Linked DNA regions of Elephas maximus indicus. The protein of the gene in region 1 interacts with the protein of each later gene in a pairwise test. Links are inferred from orthologs where the notes say so. Each region holds a gene or a part of one and is shown in the gene's direction. Other genes may lie near its edges.

Region 1 (3,912 bases):
TGACTCCCAAACAAGCACACTTTCCACTAGAACTACTGCTTGTTGTCAGCCTGCTTGAAGGAAATCAATTACAGCTCCAGGTAGAAGTGTAATCTGCCCCTTCTGAGAGTGATGCGGTATGCTCACAAAAACTCAGGATTCCTTGGGAGGGTAGGGGAAAGTCTTCCAATATTTTCTCATTATACACATTCTATGTATTACCAGAAAGAATTCTACACTGTATGCAGAGATCAGCCTCAATTAATCAGGCTAACACATAGGCTCTCTTTCTTTACATGGGCCTTCACTTTCCAAGTCCTGAGTAACCTTTTTACGTAAGTGGGGGCACTGAGCCACATGGACGTGACTATTCTTACTTAGCTCCTCTGTTGCATTTTACAATTCAGTGTCAACAGACATTGATTACTGTAATGTATCCTGGGCTGACCAAACAGCTCCCTCTGGATTCCATTCTGAAGTGAAAAGGCTTCTGGCTTTTCAGCTAGAGCACTCTTGTACACAATACCAAACCACAAGGGGAGCAGCCCTGGGAAATACAATTATCTCAAGGGAAGCTGTGAAACTGGCCTGCAGAAGGTCTGGAAGATTCTCCCCCAGATTCTTGTCTCTTTTTTAGAGATGTTCTAGGCCTGGAGGAATAGAGGAAACTAAAGAGAAAGTTAATTGTTCCTGTAGTCAACATGAAGTATACTTCATGGGGAAGAACTGGCTGTTTCTGGACAAGAGTTTCCATTAGTGTTTCAACTGTTTGGAGTCTGTAAAAATGGGGACCGGGTTTATAGGGGATGTTGGGTGAAAGAGAGGATGATAAGAGTGAGGTAAGAGAATTTGGGCATGATTCACAATCGGGAAGTCTATGAAATGGTTGAGTCCCAAGGCTCGTACTTTGGAAAAGGTGAATTTAGGAAAGTTTCTCCCAGATGGGAGGTAAGAGACCAAAATCCTGCCTGGAAGAACAAGTAAACCCGTTGAAGATCTGAGAATCCTGATAGAATGATCGTAGGCAAATCACTTCAAGCCTTATTCAAATGGAGCTAAATCTAAGAGTTAAAAATCGTTATGCATGTGGATGCATTTTAGAACTGGGATAGGTAAATGTGAAAAACGAACAAACAAACAATAAAATGCCTTAACCATTTCAGAAAATTCTGAAATTTGACGTCATGGCTTCAAATTTTTCAGAACATAATACTTGTAAACGGTGTCTCAGTGCAAGATGGATTTTTTTTTTTGCTGTAAACGTTCCGGGTGAGGTGATCTACAGTGTACGGCCTTGGGGTTTTACCAGGAGCAGAGTTTGTGGAACGCGACCTCCAGTGTATGGCACGGGGCTGAGGGGTGGTGCTGGGCTCCTGGACGAGGTCTGGGTGGGCATATTTGGGAGTTCTCTCAGGGGCTGAGGCCCTCGAGGACTGAAGGCAGTCTGGGAGCGGCGCCCCAAACGAGTGGACGCGCGCGAAGCGGCGCTGCTGGGCCTCGCTCCCAGGTGTCTTAGCTGGGCGGGGCCGGGAGAGGCCCATTTCCCACCTGGATTAAGATGGATCCAATGGGGTCGTAGTTTTCAGTCTCCTGAGCCATGGTCAGGGCCGGGGAGAGTAACCTCCCCCCCGGAGGCGCCATCTCCAGGCGCTGAAACCTTCGGCCAGGGGCGTGTGTCCCCATGGCAACGCTATGCGCGGCCCGGCCTATTCTACCGCGGGAGCGGAAGAGGGGAGCGAGGAAGGAGCCGGGGCGGCCTATCCGTTCCGAGATGGCGCCCTTCCTTGAGTGTCTCCCCCGCACGGCGGCGGCTGTGGTACAGCCCAAGGCGGAAGCGGCTCCTGGACGGAACCGGCTCCAGAGCGCAGCCATGGCCGCGGGCGTCCCCTGTGCGCTGGTCACCAGCTGCTCCTCCACCTTTACCGGGGACCGTCTGGTCCAACGTGAGTAGCGAGGCGGCTGGGCCGGCCTTCAACCCCTCAAGCCTCGGTGGGCAACAGGACCAGGGCCTCAACCTGGACCTTGTCGCCGCCGCAGGTCCTCGGCGGTGGCCTGAGGCTCTCCAGGTTCTTCTCAGTTTCTGTCGAGGTCCCTACCCACGCCCCCAGGTGTCAACCCTGTAACTCTTAAACTCATTGCTTTTCTGCCTGCCCGGTGCACTACTGCGTTACTTCCAGCATCTGTAAAGTGGGACTGATCCCTGCCCAGCCCACCTCACGGGCTGTTGGGAGGATTCAGTGAGATGAAGACCATAAAAGACGCTCTGGAAACTGTATTGAGCTACACGAGTATAAGGTGCAGAGACTGTTGATACAGTTGTGGCTTTTATTGCTGTCCCGGCTCCTGAGGTAGGGAGTATGTTTCCTCTGACTTTCGTGTGTGTTCAATTACTAGGTTAACCCTTGATGTATGCAAGACTTGTTCTTGTACTCTTTACTATGTGGTTAGTCCCTGCTTTGCCTTCTGAGGTTCTCCACCAATATTAGTTTTAGAGTATTTCTGAGCCTAGTCCCTTCGCCTCTGGACCCTCATATTGGTTGTCAGATTAAGTAAGTCTTAAACCCTAAGTGAAGAGACCATTGTGTTGGAGAGAGCACAGCACGGATCATAGGCTCAACTCTGCCGCTGAAGGGCCCTGTGAAGTTGGCTGTAACTCAAGACACCTTTTTCACATCCATGGCGTGGTGTCAGAGCACTGACTCTTAGCTGTATGATTGTGGGTAGGTCACTTAACCTCTGCCTTTCAGTCTTCTCATCTATAAAATGGGCACAATTAATCCATCATTTACAAGATTGTTGGGCTTCATTTAGACCTGGGTTCAATTTCCTGCCGCTTCACCTCCAGTGCAGCCACTGCCCATCTGTCCTGGAGGTTTAACGGGTTCCTGTGATGCTGAATAGGTTTCAGCGGAGCTTTCAGACTGAGACAGACTAGGAAGAAAGGCTTGGCAACCTACTTCCAAAAAATCAGCCAATGAAAGCCCCGTGAATCATAGCGGCCTGACCCCATTGTGCATGGGGAATTGATGGCATTTTTAACAACAGCAGTGTTGTTATTAAAGCATATTATCTCAGTGACCCTCAGTTTTCTAAACTTTAAAATGTACTTATTTAGCAGGGTTATCTGAAAGAAAGGTGAGGTGACATTTGGGAAAGCACTTTGTAAGCTGTATAAAGCATCCTACAATTTTATTTTTTTTTTACACCTACCAAATGTTAGAATCAGGCAGATGTCCCTCCAGCACAGATTTTCTATGACTTAGTTATCGTTTGTGATCACTTAGAATGTTCCTTGCTAGGGTAAAATTTTAATTATAGCACTTATTAAATGGCAACTAACTGCCATTTCCTTACCTCTTAGAAGTGCTCCTTCCCATTGTTTTTTTTTTAACGTAATGTTTCTTTGTAAAAGTAGTGGATTCTCATTAAGTACAATTTAGCATATGGAGAAAAGAAAATGTCATAGTCTCATCACCCAAACACAAACACTGCTAACATTTCAGTGCATTTCCTTCCAGTTTTTCTTCTAATGCATACTTGTTTTTAAATAATTCAAATTATATTTCATATGTAATTTTTATGCTGACTTTTTCACTTCATAAAATTAATTTCCATCACAAATTACATCTAGCAAACATGTCATACTTTGTTCAAGATTCTTAAGCCTCTTGGTATATTTAAATTTCCAAAAAATGTATATCCGTTTTAATTCTCATCACTGAACTATGAAAGTCCTTACGGCCAGCCTCAGAAACCTGTGCTAAGTATTCTGATGGCCATGGTGCTGTATATATCGTATGCTTTAAGGAGCAAAAATTTTTATTTCTTTTTGCTACTCATAGGCCTGGGACTCAGAGGCCTTATTTGCAGTATTCTAGGTGGATGTCTGCCATTATATAAAAGGGGCATTACTGATTTCCGTTGTAGGCTTTT
Region 2 (3,912 bases), on another chromosome or scaffold:
GTTATAACATGACATACGTTAACAATGAATATTCATAACGTTAACTAATATTTTTTGAGCGTTTAGTATGTGTCAGGCACAGTGCTTAACAGTTTTAAAGCTTAACAGCTTTAAAACCACCCATCCAAGGGGTTGGTTGAAGTTGTTGTTAGTTGCCATCAAGTCAAATCTGACTTATGCCAACCCCATGCAGAACAGAACAAAATGCTGTCTGGCCCCGCACCAGTATTCATGATCTTTCAGTCCATCGTTGTAGCTATTGTGTGCCTTCCAACCTAGGGGGTACATTTTCCAGCACTATATTGGACAACATTCTGTTGTGTTCTGTAGGGTTTTCATTGGCTAATTTTTGGAAGTAGATTGCCAGGCTTTTCTTCCTGGTCTTTCTTAGCCTGGGAGCTCCGTTGAAACCTGTCCACCATGGGTGACCCTGCTGATATATGAAATATCAGTGGCATAACTTCCAGCATCATAGCAACGAGCAAGCCACGACAATACAGCAAACTGACGGATGAGTGATGGTGGTAGTATTTACAAGGGGTAACTATTATGATGACTGCCCTCTTTTAATGACTGCCCTCTTTTAAAGATAAAGAAATTGAGACTTAAGAGGTGAACTCCCTGGCCTGAAAGTCAGCTAGGAACTGCGACGGCAGGATTTTCACACAGTTCCACTCCCAAATTCCTGTTCTTAAACCACTGTCCGTCTCTCGCAGGGAAACCGTCAACATAATTTAACCAAAGCACTGGGTGAGCACTAAAAGTTACATTTCTAGCTCCCTAACGTAGTTTCTTACTTAAAGTTATTTCCAGCATGCCCTTCTCTCTTCGGAGGCTGTGGTGGGGCACGTACTACATTTCCCAGAATGCAAGCCTTACTTATCTTGCTGTCAAGCTCTTCGGGAATTGTAGTCCTCTGAGAGATGCTCATCCACAACTCCCAGTATGCACTTGGGGTTTGAATCGTGTGGTACGAAGAGGACTGTCGCTCAGCATGCCGGGAAAAGGGCCTGGCCCTTTTCGCTGGCTTGCTGCTGGGACGTGTTGACCGAGTCGCCGGACTACAACTCCCAGCGGGCCGTGCGTGAGAAGGCAGGCGGGCCCCCTTGCCGGAAGTCCGCTCTAGCCCTGAGCCCCCCAACTGCAGCCAGAGCCAGAGCCCTCCAGTCGCCACTGGATCGGGGCCGCTGGGGTCCGGACAGGGGTCGCCATGGTAACGGGGGCGCGCCCTCGCCTGGGACGGGCGGAGGGGGGTCCGCGTGCAGACACCTAAGCCCTGTTGTGCAAATGACAACCCCCCTGCCGCGGTGCGATGGTCTGGGCCGAGCGCGGGCTCGCAGAGTTGGGGAAGATCAAGGACCGGGAAGGGAGGGGGGAACACGGCAGTGACTTTTCGCTCGGGGGTGGCTGGGGGTCCCGAGGCGTAGGGACATTGGAGACGCGAGGGGAGTGTCACGGGGAGAGGGCTGTGCGGGTGGGAGACATTGGAGGTGGTGGGGTTCTTGAAACAAGGGAGGAAAAGACTGGCAGGGCAGGGTCTCAGGGATAAGGCGAGGGGATTGGAGGTGTGGAGGGGGCACGCTAATAGGAGGACTCTCTTAGTGTGAGGCGGGAGCGTTGGAGGCGAATGAGAGACTTTGGAACTGGGGAGAGGGGGCCCTTCCTGATGGGAGGGGTCTCCAGAGGTAGGGAGCTGGCATCGCAGGCGGAGAGGAGGTGTTGAAACAGGGACGGGATACTGCTGGGGAAAGGGAGATGATCTCAAGGGAAAGGGACTGGGCGCTGGAGATCTGAATAAGGCAACTGTAGGGAATGAATGGGGCTTTCGAGTCGAGGAATGTGGGCTGCGAAGGGGGAGAGGGGTGGAGGTAGGGAGTGGATACCAGAAATAACTGGCGAGCATTGGAGCTGGTTTTCCCAAGAGGAGTAGTCTCTGGGGATAGGGAGGAGGCTTTGGAGGTGAGAGGAGGTGCAGGAGATGGGAGGGGGCTCGTGGGGGAGGGGCTAGTAATTGGATTTGGGGAGAGGGCAGCACCCCTCCCCCCAGAATGGTGGGCTTTGGAACAGAAGAAAGTGTTCTTTGAGCAGGGAGTCTAGAAAGGCAATGAATGGAGGAAGATGTCAGAACAGCAGTGTTCTAGGAGGCAAGATGTGGTCTTTGGAACACCGGACGAGGCGTTTCAGTCAGAGAAGGAATGTCTTAAAAAAATGGCCCATTGAGGCCTGAGGGAAGGGATTGAAATGGAGAGAGTGGAGGTCGAAGAGAGTATCTCCAGAGGAGAAGGTCTGGGAGATTGGGAAAGTTGGGGGTATCCACATGGGGCATCCAGAGGGGTGAGCAGTAGGGGGGAGGAAACTTCTCAGGGTGAATCCCCAGAGGTGGAAAGATTCTAATTGTGGGAGAGAAGACACGGAAGAGGTGTATGAGGGAATTTGGGGGCAAGTGGCTGAGCTCCTTCCCCTCAGCTCTGTGGGCCTCTTTCTAGCTCCCCTTTCCATATGCCCTATATATCTCCAGCTCTGCCCCCCCAGGCTATGGTTGCCTGTGTGCCCTCCCCCCAGGCCTCTTCCCTTCCTGCCCAGGACCCCTGCCCTGTCAGGAAGTGGTTTTCCCTGGCTCAGCAGAAGGGGTTCTTGGAAGGAGAGTGTAATATCCTGTTCCCGTCCAGCTTGGTTGGTTGGGGGAGGGGGGGATAGAGTGTGGCAAATATGCCTTAGCAAAGAGAGTGGACTCCAGTTAAAGGGTGGAGGCTCCCACAAGTCAGGGTAGGGGGGTTTAGGGCAAAGCCGTCTGACTCCCAGCTCTGTTTTTTGGCTGTGAGACTTCCTTTCCTTGAGCCTCAGTTTCCTCATCTATAAAATGGGTATAAGTATGCCTGTGTCAGACAGAACTGGGCCCAAAGGCAGGCTTCCTAGTGGGTGAGCTTGGGGCATGGTTTTCTCAAAGACAAATAATGAAGAATTACAATGCTAAAAAGAGCTAATACTTAAACATTATACAATGAGTGTATAACACACAGTTTGTGCTAGTCACTGTACTGTACCCCTTGTGCTTATTAACCTGAGCAGCAGTCCTGTGAGGGAGGTATTCTCTCATTTTGTCCATTATACACAAGGGGAAAGACACGGAGGCCCAGAGAGGTTGAGTGACTTGCCTGTGGACACACAGCCAGTAGTGAGCAGTGCCAGGATTTATTCTGGCTCCAAAGTCTGGGTTCTTAGCCAGTTGGTCAAACTGCTCTGAGTCATAATAATAGCTAACTGTATTGAGTGTGCAGTATATACTAGACATAGGCTAAGCATAGCTGGCATTAACTCATTAAATTTACACAGCAGCACTATGAGGGTTGACCTGGCTTTTCAAAACCATAATAAATTTCCTAGCCATATCTGATGCTGATTGTCGTAGCTGACACAGAACGCTTATTCAGCCAGGCGTTTGTTAGAGTACTTCTACATTGTCTGTTCCTCATTACTCCCTTATATGGATAGTACTATTATTATTCCTATTTACAGGTGAATAAACTGAGGCACTGAGCAGTTAAAAACCAAGCCCAAACCCATTGCCATCAAGTCGATTCCGACTCGTAGCAACCCTATAGCACAGAACACAACTGCCCCCTCGGGTTTCCAAGGCTGTAATCTTCACGGAAGCAGACTGCCACATCTTTCTCCTGTGGAGAGTCTGGTGGGTTCGAACTGTTGACCTTTCGGTTAGCAGCCTAGTGCTTAACCATTGCACCATCAGGGCTCCTTAAGTTACTTAAATAGTAGCAGCCACTTTGGAAAACAGCTTGTCAGTTTCTGAAGAAGTTAAATATAGAGTCACCATGTTGTTATTGTTGCGTGCCATCGCATTGATTCCAACTTAAAGTGACCCTATACGACAGAGTAGAACTGCCCCATAGGGTT

The links.
Region 2: the proteins of AAGAB (region 1) and AP2S1 interact in binary tests that used the Homo sapiens proteins (3 or more experiments, as listed by UniProt). The link is inferred for Elephas maximus indicus from reciprocal best matches to the Homo sapiens genes AAGAB and AP2S1.

Annotation. Positions count from the first base shown.
Region 1 is NC_064831.1:57,335,980-57,339,891, reverse strand, and holds the start of AAGAB (alpha- and gamma-adaptin-binding protein p34), read left to right. Parts: upstream 1-1,620; 5' UTR 1,621-1,660; coding exon 1,661-1,922; intron 1,923-3,912. Other genes in the region: IQCH (IQ domain-containing protein H), read right to left, coding at 1,528-1,620. UniProt on the Homo sapiens protein: May be involved in endocytic recycling of growth factor receptors such as EGFR.
Region 2 is NC_064829.1:102,156,302-102,160,213, forward strand, and holds the start of AP2S1 (AP-2 complex subunit sigma), read left to right. Parts: upstream 1-1,068; 5' UTR 1,069-1,210; coding exon 1,211-1,213; intron 1,214-3,912. UniProt on the Homo sapiens protein: Component of the adaptor protein complex 2 (AP-2). Adaptor protein complexes function in protein transport via transport vesicles in different membrane traffic pathways.